Linked DNA regions of Mus musculus: all the other regions are reported to be linked to region 4. Evidence: microRNA targets listed by miRTarBase, many of them from high-throughput screens and not tested one by one. Region 4 holds a microRNA gene; each other region holds the end of a gene's coding sequence.

Evidence for each region. Region 4 holds the annotated microRNA mmu-miR-324-3p (CCACUGCCCCAGGUGCUGCU, at 1,731-1,750, shown strand). A microRNA usually pairs through its seed, bases 2 to 8, with sites in the 3' UTR of a target mRNA and lowers its output. Matches are read on the target gene's strand: a 7mer-m8 pairs with bases 2 to 8, a 7mer-A1 pairs with bases 2 to 7 and ends in A, and an 8mer does both.
Region 1: miRTarBase lists Ablim1 as a target of mmu-miR-324-3p. Seed matches in the 3' UTR shown: 7mer-A1 at 4,246-4,252 and 7mer-m8 at 4,382-4,388.
Region 2: the mRNA of Tmem131 is a reported target of mmu-miR-324-3p. The part of its 3' UTR that is shown has no 7-base or 8-base seed match.
Region 3: the mRNA of Tgfbr2 is a reported target of mmu-miR-324-3p. The part of its 3' UTR that is shown has no 7-base or 8-base seed match.

The regions. Positions count from the first base shown.
Region 1 is chr19:57,032,852-57,037,851 of GRCm38, reverse strand. It overlaps Ablim1 (actin-binding LIM protein 1), which reads left to right. Exons shown (of 26, transcript NM_178688.4): 26 at 515-5,000. The coding sequence ends at 628. Among named protein-coding and RNA genes, the nearest start is that of Afap1l2, 27 kb to the right of the region's middle.
Region 2 is chr1:36,788,578-36,793,577 of GRCm38, reverse strand. It overlaps Tmem131 (transmembrane protein 131), which reads left to right. Exons shown (of 41, transcript NM_018872.2): 41 at 373-1,389. The coding sequence ends at 657. Among named protein-coding and RNA genes, the nearest start is that of Zap70, 29 kb to the right of the region's middle.
Region 3 is chr9:116,085,766-116,090,765 of GRCm38, forward strand. Tgfbr2 (transforming growth factor, beta receptor II) reads right to left here. Exons shown (of 8, transcript NM_009371.3): 8 at 1,930-4,792. The coding sequence ends at 4,613. Among named protein-coding and RNA genes, the nearest start is that of Gm31014, 34 kb to the left of the region's middle.
Region 4 is chr11:70,010,365-70,015,778 of GRCm38, forward strand. Mir324 (microRNA 324) reads left to right here and starts at 1,679; the gene lies at 1,679-1,767. It overlaps Acadvl (acyl-Coenzyme A dehydrogenase, very long chain), which reads right to left and starts at 5,064. Exons shown (of 20, transcript NM_017366.3): 1 at 4,899-5,064; 2 at 4,753-4,831; 3 at 4,429-4,494; 4 at 4,267-4,339; 5 at 4,115-4,179; 6 at 3,881-4,015; 7 at 3,070-3,214; 8 at 2,808-2,937; 9 at 2,594-2,719; 10 at 2,084-2,282; 11 at 1,822-1,926; 12 at 1,320-1,406; 13 at 1,172-1,234; 14 at 981-1,082; 6 more. The coding sequence starts at 4,960.

The DNA.
Region 1 (5,000 bases), not on the chromosome of region 4:
TGCCAGGTGTTTCCTCTGGTGGAGGACACTACCTGGCTGTGCCCAGGAAACAAGCCCCAGAGAGAGCCGCCTCTCTCCCCAGTCTGACTGGCTCTTCAGGATGATGTTAGTGTCTCTGAGTTTCTGCAGGGAATGGATTTCAGGACACCGCCCCCCCCAACAGCCGACAAAGTCTGCAGGTGCAGAAAGTGATACGTTCTTTATACATTGTCTCTGCACACCCTCCCTTATGCTTTAAACCATCTTTAGATGACATATGATGCCTAGTGGAACCGAAAGGAGCCGTCCATACTTGCAGAACCGTGTTGTTTGGGGCAAAATGACCAGGGAAACAGTCTGTACATGTGTAAGTCAGAGGCAGTTTGGGAAGGATACTTTTTATCTAAATGGATTGGATTGGCGATGCAGAAGCCAGGACTATGGAAGGCTGGCTACATTCGTAAATTGGAAAAGGCATCTGATGTTCATTGGCGTGGCCGTTAGGACTAACAACCTCTTGCTTCTCTCTTCCCAGCGCCACTTAGCCCCAGAAGTATTTTGGGAGATCTTTGGGATGTCCATACAGGAATTTGACAAGTTACCTCTTTGGAGACGCAACGACATGAAGAAAAAAGCTAAACTCTTCTAAGTCCCTCGAGTAAACGACAATCAGGAAACGAACTCTCAGTGGCGGTGGTGCGTAGAACATTATGCTAAGGCCCAGAACTGATCAGAGAATTTGTTCACCACCGTCTCCAGGCAGCAACGCCAAGGGCAAGTCTGATCTCAGCACCCACGAGCCACATCCTGGGCCAAGCAACAGTAACCCTTGCCAAGCAACGACGGGGTAGAATTTCTATGTTCCCAAATTCAGCAGTAACGTCCACATGGGACCTTTTCACGTGACTCTGTGGGGCTTCTTTCTCCTTTTCACTTTCCCCTTTAACCCATGTCTGACTTAGTGCTGCCTGTGTTGGTAAGAGTCAGCAAGTGCCCTTAGGAAGCCACACGGAGGGGATGCTGGGAGTCCTGACATATGAATCTATTTATTATGTAGTACTGTGGCAGAGAAGGAATCCAGGGGCCTGCACTGATCGGGTAGCAGCTACTTTGCCTGTCCTTGGCCGTCTCCCTCAGCTCTGCCTGGGCTCCGAGGGAGATGGAAGTCCGTCAGGGAACAGGTAGTTCTAAGTGCGTGGCTAAATGATTTGGACAAGCTCCTGTGTGTGCTGAGACCTGGCTGGCCAGCTGCTAGAGGGGAAAAACAATTAAGACAATGGAAAAGGAAAAAGGAATGAAGGAACCTCCCTCCCTGAAAGCTTTTCCTGCTTCTGAGACTGTGTTCAGCCCTTTCCCCTATAAATTGATAGGAACTGTGTGTCCACCTTTCCAAAGAAAGGAAAGACAAAAAGAGTTTCCAGATTGGCCCAGCTGCTGATAGGTGATTTTTTTTGCCCATGAATCATGTATCTCTTAGAGAAGAAAATTCTATGCCCTACCACATCACAAGATCTCCTCCTCAGTGTCTGTCTGTCTGTCTGTCTGTCTGCCTGGCATCTGATGGGTCAGGTCAAGCCCGTGCTGGTTTTGACTAAGGGTAGAGACTAAGGGGAGACTTGTTTTTCTGAAGTAGACTGCTTTCACTCGGCCTGATGGACAAGCCCGCGTGTGTTCACGTCTGTGTGTAACTCACCCAGAGCAGATCTGTGAGTCTCGATGTGCTTTGTAATCTCTGCTTGAGTGTTGCCCATACTGGGCTGTGGCTTTGAAGGTCATTTGCACAAGAGCACGTGACCCAGAGATGGAGAAGTGAGGTTCAGGGAGGGTGCTTAGAGACCAGCCTGTTCTTTGAGCTGTAGAGACTCATGCTGGATTCAAACTGAGAACCCTGGAAGGAAGGCCAGGCTAGTTTAGGGCTCAGCGCGTCTCACCAGAGCCCTTCCATACTCTGTGACTCTCAGTGTGAATTGGAATGCAATTCTTTCCCTAAAATGTGTGGAAAAGGCCACATCATGAGGACTGGTGTGAGTTGGGGTAGGGTCCCCAGAGTCTCAGGAAAGAAGCTAGATCACACTGATTCTCCTGCCGTGGATATGAGTTAAAACCAAGTGGTAAAGCACTTGGATTCACCCCCAATGACCACTCAGCACAAAATGCAGAAATTCCTTCTGAAGGACTAAAGCGACCAGCTGTCTGCCACACCTGCAGTAACACAGAGCAACAGATTCCCAGCCCGTGATGAGAGCCTGTAGCTCGTGACACACTTCTTTGGGTTACTCTGCTACATTTCTGTAAGAGAGTTAAGTCTGAGAACTAGTCTCGCAAGTGTATCTGTTAGTACACTCTGCAAGAGGACTGGACTGCTGGCCTAGGTATATGGATCTCACGCCTCTTGGGGAGACAGATTGCAAAAATGGGTTCCCTGCATGTCTCCGGCTTCTTCCCATGTTCTCATTGTTTTTCTCTAGCTACCCTACTCATCACTGGCTCCCTCAGCACCAGGCCTGTATAACGTGGTTCTCACGTTACCCTGGCAGCATACAGGATGGGGAGTCTGGTGTATTCAGTGTTCACAGTCAGCAGACATGGTGACCTGGTGGGAGACTTTATTTATCCAGTGTGGTGATAGCATGACCCTCCATGCTTCTTACTGGTTAATGCTATTTCTCACAATGATGCAGATTAGGAAAATTGAAGTATTCAGGAAACAGGGGTGGTTGCTAAGGTTCCGTACCTGCTCTTTATAAATTTATAGTGGCTTTATCCTGACATAGGAAAGTTCAGCTGCAGGGGAGGAGGAGGAGACAGTCTTCCTCTTTAAGTTACAGAGAGCCGTAAGCTAAAGGACCTGCCTAGGATTATAATATTTGAAGAATGAACTTTTAAATTCTTGCAATAACGAAACCCTGCCTCCTTGACTATTTGAACTCAGTTCTCCATCTAAACTGGGAAAAAAAACAAACAAAGAAACAAACAAAAAAAATAACATTCCGTATTAGCATAGTAGTCCAAATTGTATCAAGCAAAAAATGTATGGCTAGACAACACCAGTAAGAATCCTGCTGCTCTGGGGGAGGCGGAAGGAGAGCTGGAAAGTCTGGAGTATCGCTCCGTTCCCTGGCAGAAGGTTCCAGCCAGGAGGATGTGCTGAAGATGGTCTGGTCCTAACTGCCAGACACAATGTCCGTGACATTAAAGGCTCCACATGATTGACCACAGCATGGGAGAGCGGTGTTCTTCACTCGACTCCACCCTGCTGGACACAGGAAAATTTCAATTGCTAAAAAAAAATCAAAGCACTCATTCACTTGGGGGGAGGATCCTACGCAGGGGGGACTTGGTGCGTATATTAAGGGCTATATTTTTCTAGCATTTGACCTACTTGCGACTTGATACAGATTGCATAGCCTGAAAGAGGCTTCTGTGGCCACCTGGGAGTCTCAGTGTTTTCTTCAAAACTTCTCCAAGAGAGTCCAGGCTCTCACATCGTCTTCCTGTGCGACCTATTAGAGAGATGAAAAGCCTTTGAAAACAGCTAGCTCTGCATTTTCATACTAGTGTAGAGTTTGTTATGAAATATTTTTACTATGACTCCTTCAACAACTAAATACGAACTGCCTGTTCTCTAAACCTCAAGGAGAAAAACTGGAGTTAATGGGTAATAAGGTGCAAAATAAAGGGGTAAGGGGGGAGTTTTCTATCTGTCCTGTTCTCTGTTATCTCCAAGTCCTGATTCTGTTGCCTCCAGCCCGAGCCTCCTCTCCTCTTCTCTCCCGAGACACAGCCTCACCCGTCATTTCATTCTCTATCCACTGTCTGTCACCTCCAGCATGGAAAGGTTCAGCTGGAGACATTTCTGAAACAGACTACTTTACTTTGAAGCAAACGTCTTTTTTTTAAAGATTGCTTCACCAATGATGCTGTCAGATATATCTGCTTTCTCAAGTTTAAAAGAATTCAAATTAACTTCCTTTGAGTCTTTGTTAAAAGAGAAAATAAAAAAATCTCAAGCAAACTTGGAGTGGCAGTCCAGGGCATGTCGCAGGAGCAGGAGTGGCTCCAAGCTGTGCTCTCCATGAACTCTGGCTCTGGGGAGATTTCTAGTAACTCTTCAATCTGTACTTTCTGTGCCCGCCTCGGTTTTGAGTTGCATTTTTTTTTTCTGTTGTTAGACAAACCAGGGCTTTGTATGCTTGAAGTTCACTGTTTTGTGCCCCCCTTTGAAGAACTTTCTATGCAGAAATAGATGGTCAGGGTTTCGGATTTGCAGTGATGTGTCTTCCGGTGGCAATGGACAGGGAAGGAGCACCCATGTCCACTGGAACGGGAGAACAAGCCTTCGGCATCTACAGGGTTACTGTTTGCATTTTCTACCCACAAGCAGAAGGAGACAGTGACAATGGGCAGTGGATAGCCCTCACTCGTGAGTGTTTAATGTTGCAGCAAACTCACCAAGAAGGAGACAAATGGCTGTTTCGAATGGAAGCTTTCTCAGCAGACAATGTGTGCACAGTAAACTTCAGCAGAGTCCACTTGTTCTCCCGGAAGCTTAATGTAATTGAATGGCAGTTATCACTAAATAAAATTCTTTTCTGAGTCTCTCCCGAGAGTGGCAGTCCTTTGAATCGCTTCCCAGGGTGAAAGATGGAAAGAGATGAGCCTAAGGATACCAGGTTCAAAACGGTTATGACCATACACACAGGCATTTTACCTTATGGAAGAGGAGACAGTTGTTCATGGAATTGATGGGGGAGGTAGAGGGGGTCCTCTAACAAATATGTCTGGTGGTGAATGTGAAAGCTTTCCATGAGATGCCAAAGACCCTACATCGAATTTCCTTGAAGAATGGTTCACGGGATTTCTGTCCCTGATGAAAGACTGCCCATTCACCTTGGTTCCCTCCCCTTGTGGCTAAACGAAAGCAAATGTCCGGAAGTCTTGAGAAGCTGTGTCGTGTTCCCTGTGGAAATGAGTTGATGTGTGCCAGTGCTGAGCACCTGGTATTGAGGTACAGAGGAGGG
Region 2 (5,000 bases), not on the chromosome of region 4:
CCTTAGTAATAGTCCTAACTCCCGTTTATAGCACGTGGCCACTCTTAAAAGCAGACCAGCAAATTCTCTATACACTCCAGGTAGTCAGTCGGACTGTGGGCTTTGCATCTTGATACAAGTTAGTGTGGCCAGGACCCACGCAGGCGCCTGCCTCAGTGAGACCCACACACAGAAAGCACAGAAAGCAGGCTGGTTGCACTGGGTCCACCAGCCAGGCTGTGTCAGCCTGCAATAAAATATCAGAGCTATGGCTAACTGTCTGGAGTATTCTTTAAAATCAATAAAAATGGGAGAAGTCTGTGGACCACTCTGTCCCCTGCCGGCCCTGCTCACCCCACACTCAATATTATGTTCCTTCTGTTTTTTTCGTAGTCCATCCTTGGCAACAGCAGCGGCTTGTGGTCCACCACTCCATTCAGCAGCTCCATCTGGTCCAGCAACATCAACAGCAACCTTCCTTTCTCCACTCCAACAAACGCGCTGTCGAGCATCAGCCTCATGGGCACGGAAAACTCTGCCGCCGCCCACACCCCTTCCGCCTCTGGCCCAGCTGACGACTTGGGACAGACCTACAACCCCTGGCGGATCTGGAGCCCCACAGTCGGAAGAAGAAGCTCTGACCCTTGGTCTAATTCGCACTTCCCTCATGAAAATTAAAATTAAGCAAAAAACGAAGTGGGGGCCCCTCATCTAGATCATGATATGCCAGTTTCCAAGACATCTTCTGAAGGCCCTCACTGCCTCAAGCCCTCTCCCCTCCTCGCAGGGCAGGCTTGGTGCACTGGCTTCTCTCACATCTTTCTTGCAATTATGATACTCTGAGATTTGCTGTTGTGCTTAAAGACAAAAGTCTGGACTCAGCCACAAACTACTACAGCCTGTCCACCTGAAATCTTGACTTACCCAGTCCCCACCTGTCTCTTCCTGCCTTCTTTATCTGTAAGAACACAAATTTGGCATTACAGTTAAGGGAGTGATTTGAATTGATTGACAAGTCCTGGCATGTGACAATTTTACTAAATTACCAAGTTTGGTTTTTAATAATTTCACAATATTATGCGCCAAGATCTAATTTTAAAAATGTACGAGGACTTTGTGCTGAAAATACAGAGTATTTTTTTAAAGTAAGGCTGTCTTGGCTTAAAAGCAGATTACAGAAATGTAAGCCAGCGTAAGAGCAGTGGCTGGATGTAAAGCGCCCAGCAGGAACCACAGGCACTCTGTGCTGTTTGTACTTGAGGTATGTACCATTTGTATACCTGAATTTATTTTAAAGATAAACTGAAATGCACATAGCCAAGTCTTGACATTACAAGATTGTGTATTTCTTAAAATACAACTTTGTGTTGTACTTTGAAATAAATGATGCTTTTTTTCAAAAGCCTTGAATTGTTTTGTTTTGCTTTTTTACACTAGCTGCATTTCCCACCACGGTTGTCCATGGTGCCACTGAGGTGATGGGTCAAGAGGTGTCTGGCCTGTCAGGACTAGAGCTAGCTGTGGGCTACTAAAATCCTCCTAGTGACCATAGAGGGTCCCTGACAGGCAGTTACCCAGAAGCCTCTTGGGATTCGTCCAGGAAGCAGCTTCCCTCACCTCTAACCGAAACACAACAGCCTCGGAGGAAAAGCTGCTAACATTTTCTGGCCATTCACCGTGTCCACGTGCACCTGAAACCTTGGGTATCAGTACTCGGCCTCTGAGGGGCTGTGGAGTTTCCAGCTGAGTGACTGTGACAGCATAGAGCCCTCAGGGAGGCCACCCACACGTCCACTCTGCTGTCATCCTTCTCAAAAATGGGCCTTGTGCTGGGCACAGGAAGGGCTTTAGACTACCTGCAGGAATGCCCAGTATTGCATTCCTGAAACCTGAGGCAGCTGACAGGAGGCTAGAGGAGGCAGTTAGAAGCAGTTTACCCACCAAGAAAGGGTCTTTTGCACTTCAGCTACACCATTTGTCTGGATGGATCTGAAACTGGGAGATGGAACCACGCAGAGGCAGAGAAGCCAGCCTCGGGTAGCAGTACGGTCTGGAAACTGAGTCCTCGGGACTGACTAAAAGACTCTAGAGTCTAGGAGGCAGAGATTTGCACACACCGAAGGCATTTCTCTTTTTTTTTTTTTTTAAAGATTTATTTATTTATTATATGTAAGTACACTGTAGCTGTCTTCAGACACTCCAGAAGAGGGCGTCAGATCTTGTTACAGATGGTTGCGAGCCACCATGTGGTTGCTGGGATTTGAACTCCTGACCTTCGGGAGAGCAGTCGGGTGCTCTTACCCACTGAGCCGCCTGGCATTTCTCTTTTTAACAAACTGTTGACCCTTTTCCAATGATAAGTCTCCTACTGCTTCTCCAGAAAGAACCCACAGTCTACACCGGAACAATAGCAGCACACTGCAATCCATCCATCTGGGTTCTAACTCCCCTGGTGGTCCTTCCTGCTCCGGCATGCTTTTCTTGTCCTTATTTCCAGGATTTTACAGACAAAGGACTGCTAGGCAACAGGGAGCTACGAACATATGTTCTGAGGCTAGTTACATGGTGAAGAACTCAAAAGTGCCCTTCCATGGGCCGTGCTGTATGTATGAACCGTCCTATGGTGTCTGAGGCGAGTTACATGTGAAGAACTCAAAGCGCCCTGCGGATGGGCTGTGCTGTGAGTATGAACCGTCCTATAGTGTGGTTTCTAATCTAGCCCTCCCTGCTTTTCATCAGAACCAGCAAGGTCACTATGGGTTTCCTCTTAGGGCTTCCTAGACAGCTAGAGTTGGCCCATAGAGCTGGTTCCTGGCCTTGTAGCCCTGTTGGTTAGCAGGCTCTCTTGTGCAGTTAGGAAATGAGAGCAAAAGTAAGTCGTACAATCTCTACACCAGGGAAAGAGCAGAGGTCTGCACGGGTAAGCTTCCCACTGACTGAGGGTTGGAGGGACGGTTCAGCAGTTAGAGCGCTTGCTGTTGTCGGAGGCCCCTTCAACCACATGTAACTCCAGCTTCAAGGATCCAGCAAACTCTTTGGCATCTGCAGCCATGCACATGCACATGATCACACACATGTACATACAACATGCGAGCACATAAATAATGAAAAGTAAATCTTGGCAATATAAAAGGACAAATGTTACTAGCAAAGCTCTACCATGTTTAGGGTACAGTGGGGGACTTACTTGCTCATAAGAATCCCTCGAGGTTGCCAGATTATTCTCTAAGTTCCCATTTTACCCATGAGACGTTCCTTGGCCAACTTGAGGAACACCATACAGCTGTTAGGAGACAAAGGGTTCTAGGGAGCCCAGGTTTCCCCAGATACTTCCAACAGTAGGTATCCAGGCAGGCAGGCAGGCAGGCAGGCATGTGTGCTCAGTGCTTACCTACAAGCTGCAAGCTGAGAGCTAGATTTTGAGGCAGGAGAACAACGAAATTCAAACAGACAGAAACCTAGGACAACAGTTTAGTAAGATACTCTGGCGTTTGCTACCCAGCTCCACATCCAGGGGAGGAGAGTGCCAACCTCTGGAGGGCGGGGGAGGGGGTGTGTGCTCCAGAGGGCTTCCTGTCATGTCACCTTTCAGTGGGCCCAAGTCTGCCACATCCCAGAACCATCTCACGAAGGGTGCTAATGCCTGGGTCTGGATGGCTCTGGGAGCCAGAAACCTACATAATCACACATCCCACCAGACCCCGAGCTGGCTGGGGAGTTGCTGCCTCTAAAGCCCAGGGTGGTTTATCCCAAGACAGTAACTGGGTGTACGCTAGTGCAGCTGTCCGCAGCAAGGGTAAATCAACCGGGTACCCAGAAGGGAGACCACGGGGCAGAAAGGCAAACTAAAGTTTCTTCTGAAATACCCTTTGCCGCCTGAAGACACAGCCCACAATTGGGGTGCACCTTCCCACGTCAATCAGAGAAGCTCTGCAGATGAGGTTCCCTATTCAGTCCAATTAGTGTCAAGTTGACATTAAAACCAATCAGCGTCATTTAAGGAAGTTGGGCAAGGGATGGACACAGAGCACAAAGGAGCACTGTTTGCTGGGCTTGCTCTGTGGGCACCTCTGCCTGCTTTCTTATACAATCCCCTGGGCAGCAGTGGTGCCACCCATAGCAGGCTGGATCCCCGACATCCATCATCAATCAAAAGAATGCCCCCACAGACGTGCCTTCAATGAAGGCTTCTTCTTGCCAGCTGGCCCTAGTGTGCATCAACTTGACAAAAATTTACCATCACAGAGGTTAACTGACCTCTGGTCAGGATGTGTTCCAACAGTCAGCTGGCTTACAGGTTTCATCTGCACCTCCATGGTTCCCGGCAGACAGGAAGCAGCATGACCATACTAAAATAACCATTTGGACAGTCCTCCGAAGCTCAGCCCTTCCGGAAATGCATCCCATAGGAACCCTGCTTGGGAAGGAGGCGTTGAAACCCAGCAGCCAAATCCTGCTACGTGGAAATGTGGAAGAGTCAAACCGATGGAGACCCACAAGACAAGTGTGTGGACTGCTCAGAAAGTCAAGCTGTCGGTGACCCCCTAGATGCTGCTTCAAGGCTGACAACAGTAACCAGTGTGTATCTTTTGGCCCTGAATAAAGACAGGGTTTCATTATGTAGCCCTGGCTGTCCTAAAACTCACTCTGAAAACCAGGCTGACCTGAAACTCACAGAGATCTGCCTGCCTCTGCTGGGTTTAAAGGTGTGCGCCACCACTGCCTAGTAAGAGTGTAATTTTTTAGAAAAAATTATTTTTATTGTTTGTGTGTGTGTGTTGTGTGTGTATTGTGTGTGAGAGAGGAGGAGGGGGAGGAGAGGGAGAGAGAAGGAAGAGAGAGAGAGAGAGAGAGAGAATACATATTTGTTCATTGCCAAAACTGTTTGATCACTGGACCTGAAGTACCAGACAGTTGTGAGTCTCCCGATGTGGGCACTGGGAAGAACAATGTTATTAACCACTGGGCCACTTTGTCCAGCCCCCCAAAGCTTACATGTAATGGAAAGACAGTAGCAATAA
Region 3 (5,000 bases), not on the chromosome of region 4:
AGTGCTGGGTAAATTAAGTGGAGAAAAAAGAACATTCTGGCTCTCCTAGAGCAAAACGGGATGGCTATGGGCACAGAGATAGAAAGACATGTACATGGACTACCGGGCATTTCCTCATGTATGTCGCCTCCCGATGTAGTCCCATCGCGCTGGCCAGTTTTCATCAGGAGACAAGAAGAAATACAGAAAAGCAGGCACTTTGGTTGCACAAAATTTTAGGTCCTGGATAACTTGGCTTTGCCCCAGACTGTATCTCAGGAGCCTGTGTTCTGACAATCCAGTCCTTCCCCCTGGGAGTGCGTGCCTTCCTGCCCTCCCTGGCCTGATGGGTGAATGCTCATCGAGTGTGTGCTCTGTTTATACTGCCAACGCTCACACAGACAGAGCCTTCCCTGGTCTATCTATATACCACTCACTCTTCCACATCCTTCTGTGTTCTTAATGCCATCTGGGATTTTCCTATAAATCCGCCTTTATGCAAAGCAGCAACTTACTACCAGCCAAGATGCAGGCTCAACACACCAATGCAAAGCTATGTATGGGGCTGTCAAAGGGTACCCAGGGCAATCACTGGCATGCTAGTCAGAGGCAAGAAAACGCACACAGATGCACATTCTCTGAGGCAGCCATCGCTGTGACAGTCCTGGAATAAATAGCCACATGGGCCAAAGCAGTTCCTGGGACAGAGAGAAGCCATGCTGGCACACCAAGAGCCACCATGCCAGGACACAGGGGCTCAGGAACAGACCACAGAGATAGGGGACAGCAGGCTGCCAAGGGCTAGCTACTGTTCCTCTTTTATTAGTGAGCTTCTGTTGAGGATTACCTTTTGGTCGTGTGTGTGTGTTCATGTGTAGGCATGCATGTGCACATGTGCACATGTGAGTGAGGAGGTCAGAGGTTAAACTCCAGTGTTACTCCTTAGGCCTGTACACTTGGATTTTCACACAGTCCCTTCACTGACCTAACTGACCTGGGGCTCAGTTAGGCTAGGCTGGTTGACCAGCAAGCTCTGAGGAGTTCCTATCTCTGCCTCTCCAGCTAGGATTATAAGCACATTATATCACCTGTGTTATAACTACATTATATCACCTGTGTTATAAGCATATTATATCACCTGTGTTATAATTACATTATATCACCTGTGTTATAAGCATATTATATCACCTGTGGCTTTTTCTGCCTCAAATCTGAAGGCCAAGCTCATTTCCTCATGCTTATACAACTGCCTTATCTCTCCTGGATTGTTTTTAAAGAGACATGAGTCTGTTGTAAAATACCCCACCCCTGACACACACACACACACACACACACACACACACACACACACACACACGCTCACACTCACACACTCCACAAGCTGTCTCCATCAGAGCACTGTGACTACCCACAAGAGACCTCCAAGACGGGGCTGTTGCCATATTCTCTCCCAGAAGCAGAGGTCATCAGACCCTTCCCTTAGATCCCACCCACACTTTTCTATACCTTCCTCCCGGATGTCTGTCTTTCTGGCCAAGCTGCAAGTGATTCTATGGTCTCAGGATGAGCTAGCGTGTGTGGGGACAGGGAGGCTAACAGAAGGGCGCTTAGTCTGTGCAGCTCTGGGGAAGTCAGCGTTCATGTGGGGGTGAAACTCTGTGGGTGATTCACACTCCTGGAACTTGCCCTGTATCAGACTCTGTTAGTAAGCATGACAACTTGTTTGCTTGACAAGTGGGACTTTGACGGGATCTTTACTTTGTTCTGTCCCTGGTGACACAATCTGAGGTGATCAGACATGGCACATCTGCTCAGGGAAATGCGCTCACAGTACTACTCATGGACAATCCATGTGGAAGAGCACAAAAGGACATTTTTGGCCATGCTGAAGAATAGTCTGGTGTGTGAAGTGGGTTTAGCTACTGGGGACAGCAACAAGAGGCAAGGTGGTCTGCGGACTTTGGATTTATTTGATCTACTAGACATTTTTATTTATATAAAAGACAAACACTGCATAGATTGAAAATAAGTGCTTTAGGTTTTGATATAAAAAGAATATTGTGCATTCATTCACATTCCTATTTGAATACATGAATATGGCCGAAGTGTTCAATAAAAGAATAAAACTTTCCCTTTATGTAGAGTAGTGAACAAGAGTCAACACTTTGAGGAATGACAGCGATGCTATTCCTTGGTCTTTTTCTTGAATAAAGAAAAGAAATGACATAAACAAAACAAGCCACAGTAACATGACACCATATTCCAGTTTCTGATGATGACCCGGAAGTGAAGTCACTTTTGAACCCTAGAAATCCCACTAGTGGACCAGCATTCTGTAAATTCCCCGCTAGAGGGCGGTGAACAACAGCTACTGGGTTAGCACTGGCAATCCAAAAGAAGCAAGTGGGCTTGGGGGTTTCCATGGTGTTCGAAGCCACAGAACACATAGATTTTTGTCCTACCCCCAATTTGACCATGTTGACCAAACAGAACAAAAGGCCCCCTTGGTGGTTCTCCAATCATGCTCCTATTTGGTTGAAAATAAGTCGCTTCAAAAACACAATTTCTTAACAAGACAGACTTTGGTTTGCAACATCCACATTTGTTGGGGGATTAACAAGTTTCCTTTTAAAGCTCATTCCCTGCTCTCATCCAAGTGGACACAGAGTCCCTGTCTCTACACAGGAGTCCTGTGTGACCCCTGTTCAAATATGCACTTGTAATTTCTGCCAAGGTTAGGACCATGCAGAGACCAGTAGCCATAAAGAAAGATTCTTAGAGCAGAGAGGTTCCCTTGCAGAGGCAGATGAAACTTATTATGCATACAAAGAGCCCTGACCTAATGAGGTCACACACAGGTGGTCTCCTGATGTCCAATTTATGTCAATTTCAAATCATAACATCAGATAAGTTTTGTGCAATCCAATCTGTTCCCAGAACAGGGTGAAATGAATGCACATTTCTAGTGTGTGCACGTGTGTGTGGGTGTTCGTGGGTGCACCTGTGATGGAGACCAGAAGTCAGTCAATGTCAGATGTTCCTCAGGGTGCTGCTCACCCTGCTTTGGAGACAATCTTCCTAGCCCTGGGCTTCCAGGGGTGTTCGTCTTCCCAGGGCTGAGATGATAAGAGTGCCCCACTGAACATGACTTTTGTCGTGGGTTCTGGAGGGGTTGAACTCAGGTCGTCTTGCTTGTGGTGCAACCATTTTTACTTGCTATCTCTCCATGCTCACGAACGCACTTTTCTTACAATGGATCCTGACTGGAAGCAGCTTTCATTTCCAGACTGGGGTGGGTGTGAGTAATGGGAAGTCTGGAGGCTTAGGAGTGAGCAGTGAGGCAGCTGCAGCCATGCCCTTCTTGCTGGAAATGATGCCCCCTGGGGGCGGAGCTAGGAACCACCTCCTCTGCTTATTGGGGAATCTAAGCTTCTCTGCAACCTCCCAAATAGTTCTAAAGAAGCTCAACTAACTTTTTCGACAGTGTGTTGATCGAGGAAAAGGAGGGTTCAAAGAGTCCCCGGACACAGCTGTACAGTATGGGCAGCGTGCGCCATTCAAATCCTGTCCGCTATTTGGGAGGCTGGGATAATGGAACCCACTGGTGTTGCCATGGCAAGCTGGAAGACCCAGCAGCAGAGCGACAAAAATTAAACACAGTGAGGCTGAGGGGCTGAGTGTAGGGTGTGCCTTGTTTTAAAAAAATCAACAAAGGATAATGGCAGGGAACAAATAACAGTTACTTATGCACAGGAAAGGATCAAAGAACTCAATCTTATTAGTAGATGGTAGGCCAATTTCATGGGTGGGGAACGGTCTTCTTTGATTTTTGGTAGCCCGTAAAAGCAGAAAAATGGGGCCAAGTTTCAAGGCTAAGTCAGAAGGTTCACAAGTCAGAGTGGGGCTTGAATGTCAAAGATAACAACCAAGAGAAGCAAAGACACATGGGAGATCCTGGGACTCAGTGCTGGACTGGAGCTCAGCTCCCTGGTCCATAAAGCACCCTACTGTAGAGGGTCATTATTGCAAAACAAAGTGTTTTGTGGCCAAAGCAGGCTGCAAGGCATGGATCCTTCTCATACAATTGTGCCCCCAACCCTGCTGTCAGGGGATCGTTGCTTGTGTGACTGATTGTCAAGTGCTAACGCTATCCCGAGTCCCTTCTGCTCCATTCTAGAGCTCTCCAATAAAAACTAATTCCCCGGGGAACACATTTGATCATTTTCTTTGTCTCCTTGCAGAGTATGGCTATATATAGAGAGATATAGACATATAGATATATAGATATATATAAAACATAGCTATTCGTATTTACACACAGGCATTAATAAAGTGCAAACGTTATTGGCTGTTGTAAAAATCAATCTCATTTCCTGAGGAGGTGCTAGCACAGCTTATGCCATGACAGTCTCCAAGGCATAGGACGCTCTCTGTCACTCATCCCCCGCCGCTGCCACCGCCGCTATGGTTGTTGCTGCTGCTGCTGCCGCTTCTAAACACGGGGCAGCTCCTGGGGAAGAAGGGAGCAAGTCCTTGGTTTTCCAGAAGCATCAGTCAGGAGAGAATCCTGCTGCCTCTGGTCTTTGGCTAGAGGACGGCTTCTGGAGGCTTGGCCCAGCCTGCCCAGAAAAAGCTATTTGGTAGTGTTCAGCGAGCCATCTTCTGGAATCTTCTCCTGGGAGCAGCTCCTCCCAGAGAGTCTCTCCGGATGCTCCAGCTCACTGAAGCGCTCTGCCACACACTGTGCTGTGAGACGGGCTTCGGGGTCATGGTCCCAGCACTCGGTCAAAGTCTCACACACGATCTGGATGCCCTGCAGAGGAAAGGAGGGGGGTCCCAAGGGCACCGTCAGTGGGTGGTCTCCATGGAGTTAGTATCAATACATCATTAACAAGGTCCACAGTTCAGAATAAGGCTCACTCTTTCTATGTGTTCATGTGTAGGTAGGTGTGGGTCAAAGGTCACTGTCAGCTGTCTTCCTCAAAGACACCTTACTCTTTGAGACAGGGTTTCTCATTGAG
Region 4 (5,414 bases):
GTTCCGGAAGAGCTCCTGATGCTGAGGGCTGGACTGCAGACTGGCCATGTTTTCTCGGATCCGAGTTGCAGCCTGGGGAGAGGGAAGGGGAGGGACGGTCAGGCCGTCCTGTACTGGGGAGCTCCAAGGCCCACCTGTACTGGGGAGCTCCAAGGCTCACCTCAATGCACCAGCTATCACAGAGCATTTTCTCATGCTGTGCCGTCGGGTAGCCCTCACTCAGGGACCTTGAGGCTCTGTGAGGAAACAGAGGTTAAAATGATCCTGAGTGCTGGTGTTGGCCCAGCTCCTCTGTGGCTCTAGCCTGCCAAGCGTCCCTCGCTGCCGCCTTACCTGGACAGAACCACCACCATGGCATAGAGGTCAATGGCGCCGTCCGCCAGTCGCTGCAGCAGGAACTGCTCGTCTGTCAGGTAGATGAGGGTGGGGCTGTTAGTCGGAGGGAGGGAATCAGGGAGGGAAGGGGGTTGCAGAGCTCACTCACTGACAATCCCTTTCTTGTGTTTCACCAGCTTGGCCTCCACCACGGTGGCAAATTGATCCAGAGCCTGCACTGCCTGAAGAGACAAGAGTCACAGACAGAGCTCAGGAGAGGAAGGCAGCGCACAGCCACCGCAGGCTCTGCTTTAAGGCTCACTCACCAGTTCACCACTGCGACTTAACTCTGGGTGGACAATCCCTGACAGACTCAAACCACTGCCGATTCCTGTCCTCCTGAGAGGAGATGGAAGAGTGACTGGTCAGTTGCGGCCTCCCATCTTGTTTGACCCTGACTCTGACCCTGGCCCCGGCCCATGAGGTACCGTCTCAGCTGTTTGCCTGCTTCTCCCATCAGGAGGCCAACGTTTCCAAAAGGATTCTTCAGGGCATTGCCCAGCCCAGTGAGTTCCTTTCCTTTGTCCTGTGGAGAGAAGGGGGACGGCGACAGTGAGGACTCAGTGTCCTCCCCAGCTGCTCTCTCTCATCCTCCTTCCTCTTACCATACAGCCTTGCAGAGCCACAAACAGTCGAAGAATGTCATTTGCCCCTTCAAAGATCCGGAAGATTCGAATATCTCGGAGCACACGCTCCACCCCTGGTTCCTGGCACGCAGGAAGACACAGAAACCTCTGTTGAGATGTGCCTGTCCACTCTGAACAGATGCCCCCCCCTGCCGAGGAATACTCTGTACCTTCATGAAGCCCATGCCCCCCATTATTTGGATGCACTCATCTGCCACTTTCCAGGCCGCCTCCTGAGGACAGAGAACCAGATGAGTTGGATTTTTGAGCTGAGGTCCTAATCTGGACTCCGCCCTCCCATCACACCTGGGTCCTCACCGAGCAAAAGATTTTGCTGATGGCGGCTTCTATCTGGAAGTCTTTGAATCCCTGGTCCATGTTGGCACTCAGCATGTAAGCCATGGACTAAGGGAGCATGGTCGGGACATGGGGAAGACAACAGGGAAGGGCTGCATCAGACAGAATGGCTAATGCTCAGACCTTCAAGACCAGTGCTGATCTACTCCTCCAACCCTTGAATTCACTTTAGCCTCCTGGTCAGGTCAAATATGTCCAATATGTGACCCTCTGGTATATCAGGGGCTTCGAGGCTTCCGACTTTGTAAAGGGGTGGGTTAAAAGTCGTGTTTGGTGCATCTGGGCAGCATTTAGCAGAGCAGCACCACCCTCCAGAAGAGAACTGACTATGCCTCCTCGCATCCCCTAGGGCATTGGTGTAAAGCTGGAGACCCACTGCCCCAGGTGCTGCTGGGGGTTGTAGTCTGACCCAACTGTGAAGAAAGCCATAGGGCTCCAGGGAAGGGGCCCAGGAGGCCCTTACCTCAGTCACATACTGCAGAATAGCCATCCGAGCCAGCTTTTCCTGGATCACCCCAAAGTTGTGAATTTTGTCCCCAAACTGGGTACGATTAGTAGCATGATCAACCTGCAAGAGGGCGCATGTTACCCCACTGTGGTTCTTCAGTTTCCACCTGGACGGGCTGGAGGCCTAACTGTGCCGATGGTCGAGTGTGCATGTGTGTGTGTCGGCGCTCTGAGGCAGTCAGGGACATGTGCTAGCTAGGGACTGGGCTGGGACTCACCGCCTTGGCAATGAGGGATTTCATGGTGCCTGCGAGGGTTGCAGCCATCCCGAATCTTCCGTTGTTGAGGATGTTGACAGCAACCTTGAAGCCATCTCCCACCTCTCCTAGCACATTCTCTGATGGCACCTTCACTCCATCAAAGTACACCTCTGACGTGTTAGATGCTTTGATGCCCATCTTCTTTTCAGGGAGCCCACTGAAAAGGCAGGGCAGGAAAGTTGAGGTATGAACAGGTTGCTGTGGGGGAAAACGGCCTTTTCGGGTCTCATGATCAGGGGAGAACTCCCCAGACTATAAAAAGGATACAGGGCACTGCCTATGTGCCCCAGGGGCTACGGATATCTAGCTATGGCCTGTTAGCCTGTGTTCCCCCAGTGGAAACAAAACTGCTCACCTCCTGTGGGTGCCTCTTGTACAGAGATAGCCCCAGCGTGGCCTGTATTGACTATTTGCTCTTGAGAGCCCAGTGCTGTCCCCATCCTTGATTCTGTTTTGCCCCATACTCACTGGGTAACCCCTCCGAAGCTCCTTTCCACTACAAAAGCTGTGATCTTCTCTTTCACGGCCCCCGTGGCTGCATCTTTAATTGGCGTCTTGGCAAAGACAGTGAAAATGTCAGCCAGGCCCCCATTACTGTGGAAGAGTGAGGTGGTTAGTATAGGGTTTAGAGCAGCAGGGTCAGGCCACTGGGCTGAAGGGTAGAAGAGAAACGGAAGATTGCCTGATCCAGATCTTGCTCCCATTGAGAGTGTAATATTTTCCACAGGGGCTGGGTATGGCTGAGCTTCGGATGGAGGCTACATCGGATCCACTCGAGGGCTCTGTTAGGCAGAAAGCAGCCAAAGCCTGCCCTGTGGGGGAGAGAACGGGCTCACTGGGGATCCTGACCACCAGAGTTGCACCCCCTCATCCCCAGGCAGTTCCTTGTAACACCGTGAGCAGTGTCACACTCCTTACCCCTGGGTCTCTTAAGGTTGCCTTACCAGATGCCACTCTGGGAAGGTATTTTTCTCTCTGGGCCTTTGTGCCATAGAGCAAGATGCCTTTGAAACCGATGCTCTGATGAGCTCCCAGGGTAACGCTAACACCAAGGTCATGCATGCCCACAATCTCTGCCAAGCGAGCATACTGGAGGGAAAGGAGGCATCTGGGATTGTAGCTGGCTGCACTGAACTTGTCCTCAACAAGAATGGGCAGCAGGGCAGACCTGGCCTGGGGCTTGGAGCATCTCTACTCTGAGCATGGGGAGTGGAGTGGGTTTGGACAGGGCACAGGGAGGCTGGCCATGGGGCTCCCAGGTAGGCTGCTTCTCTAGCATGAAACCCTGGAGTCTTTCCTAAGGAGACAGGAGCAGGAACATCAAAGGGCTTAGATAATCCCCCCCCCCCCTTTTGAGGCAGTTTCATTTTGTAGCTCCAGCTAGCCTGAAACTTTGTGGGTTTCCCTGACTGTCCTGAAACTCCCTCTGTAGACCATGCTGGCCTTGAACTCGAGATCCGCCCGCCTCTGCCTCCATCCTCCATGCTGGGATTAAAGATGAGTGCCACTGTGCCCAGCTGCCCTTGGTCTTGATGGGAAGGTTGCCTGCTGTGTTGCCTCACACAGTCCCCAAAGACCTGGGAACCACAGTTAGGTCCACGGTCCTAGTGGGCTGCACACAGATCATGTTTCAGGGGAAAATGTGTGAGAAAAAGGGCAGGCAGGTAGACACTACTCTGGCTACTTGCTTGGCCCTAGTGGTGAGTCTACCAAAACTGGAGCACTGTGGAATGTTAACCAGGGGGATCCTCTCACCTGGGTATTAGAGAGGCCCAAACCACCCAGCTCGCTGGGTACTTGCAGGCCAAATGCCCCCAGTTCCTTGAGTCCCTGCAAAGTGTCGTCCTCCACCTTCTCCAAGGCGTCGTTCTTGGCAGGGTCATTCACTTCCTGAGCAAGGAATAGGAAGAATCTCATATTCAGAGGCTCCTTTAAGCTCCTTAGCATCTTACTTAGCCCAGGAGGGGCTGAGCTCTGGTCATCCCTTACCTCAAAGAACCGGGCCACTGGTCCCACCAGCTCTTTGAGAAATTGTGCCTGTTCTTCACTGAGCACTGTATAATGGGAGAGAAGAGCAGGCTAGTCAGGCAGAGAGGGCTCCCCTGCCCACACTGTCAGTGACTGACTAAGCCTTTACTTACCAGATGGGTATGGGAACACCTGATCAATGGTAAGCTGGCCTTTGAACATCCCCACAGCAAAGGACTTCGATTCCTAGGCAAGGAAGGAAAGGATCTTAGGTGGGTGCCTGGGGTGATTCTACTCCTGGTTTTTAAGTGTCAGTCCAGTTTCCAGTCACTTACTGCCCTGGCTGGTTTTTCTCTGGTGGAAGCATCAGAGGAGAGGGTTTCTGGCTTGTCCAGAACTGCCTGGAGGGAAGGGCAGAGCAGTTAGGCTGGAGATGGGTCTTAAAAGGTGTGCAGGAAGCGCTAGCTCTAGGAAGTGCGTTTGGTGCATGTTCCATTACTTTCTCACTAGGGCACCCTGGCGTGCCCTTTCCCCTACTTTCAGTGACAGAACTGCCACCAGGTGACTGGGTCGAAGAGAGAGACCCCTGTCGGTCGCAGGCTAGTGGGAACTGGCAACTCGCATTTCTACGTCCGTCTCCCTCATCCACTGTCACTTACCTGAGTGGCCTCCCTGGCATAAAGTCGCTGGGCAGAGATAGGCCGGGGTTGTCCCTGAAGCACAGTAGTAGATCGCGAGCTGTAAGGAGTCGGGGTTCAGTTCTGCCCTGGTTCCCAGACCCAGTGTCCCCTTGCTATATACGGACCTTCGGGCCCCCAGCCGCAGCAGCTGTCGCCCCACACTCGGGGTCATCCGAGCCGACTGCATCTCCAAAGCCGCCGCCGAAGTCTTGACCACTGACCTCTTCTCTTCGCGTCTCGCCTGCCCAAAGGTTGTGTGTCTGGGCCCTGACTCATGCTCCACAATGCACTGCGTGGTGGGGGCGTGGTCTTGGGCCTCGATGCATGGTGGGAGCTGAAGTTCCGACGTGTGCCCGGTCCCTGTATTCTACCTGACCTAGGGTGATCCATCTTCAAACGATCCGTTTTCTTTCCCAAACTCTATAGAGCCGCTGGTCTAAACTAAAGTCTGATCCACTAAAAAGGGAAGAGATTAGATAAGAGAAGGAAGAATTAAATGACTAGAAGGTTGGAGGTAGACTGGAGGGAGGACTTCCTAGCTAAAGTTAAAAGAGAGAAAGGAAAATATCAGATGCAGAGACCTGGATTATAAGGAAAAAAATTCTCCTTCAAATAAAGAGGGGCGTGAGGTGGCAGACTCA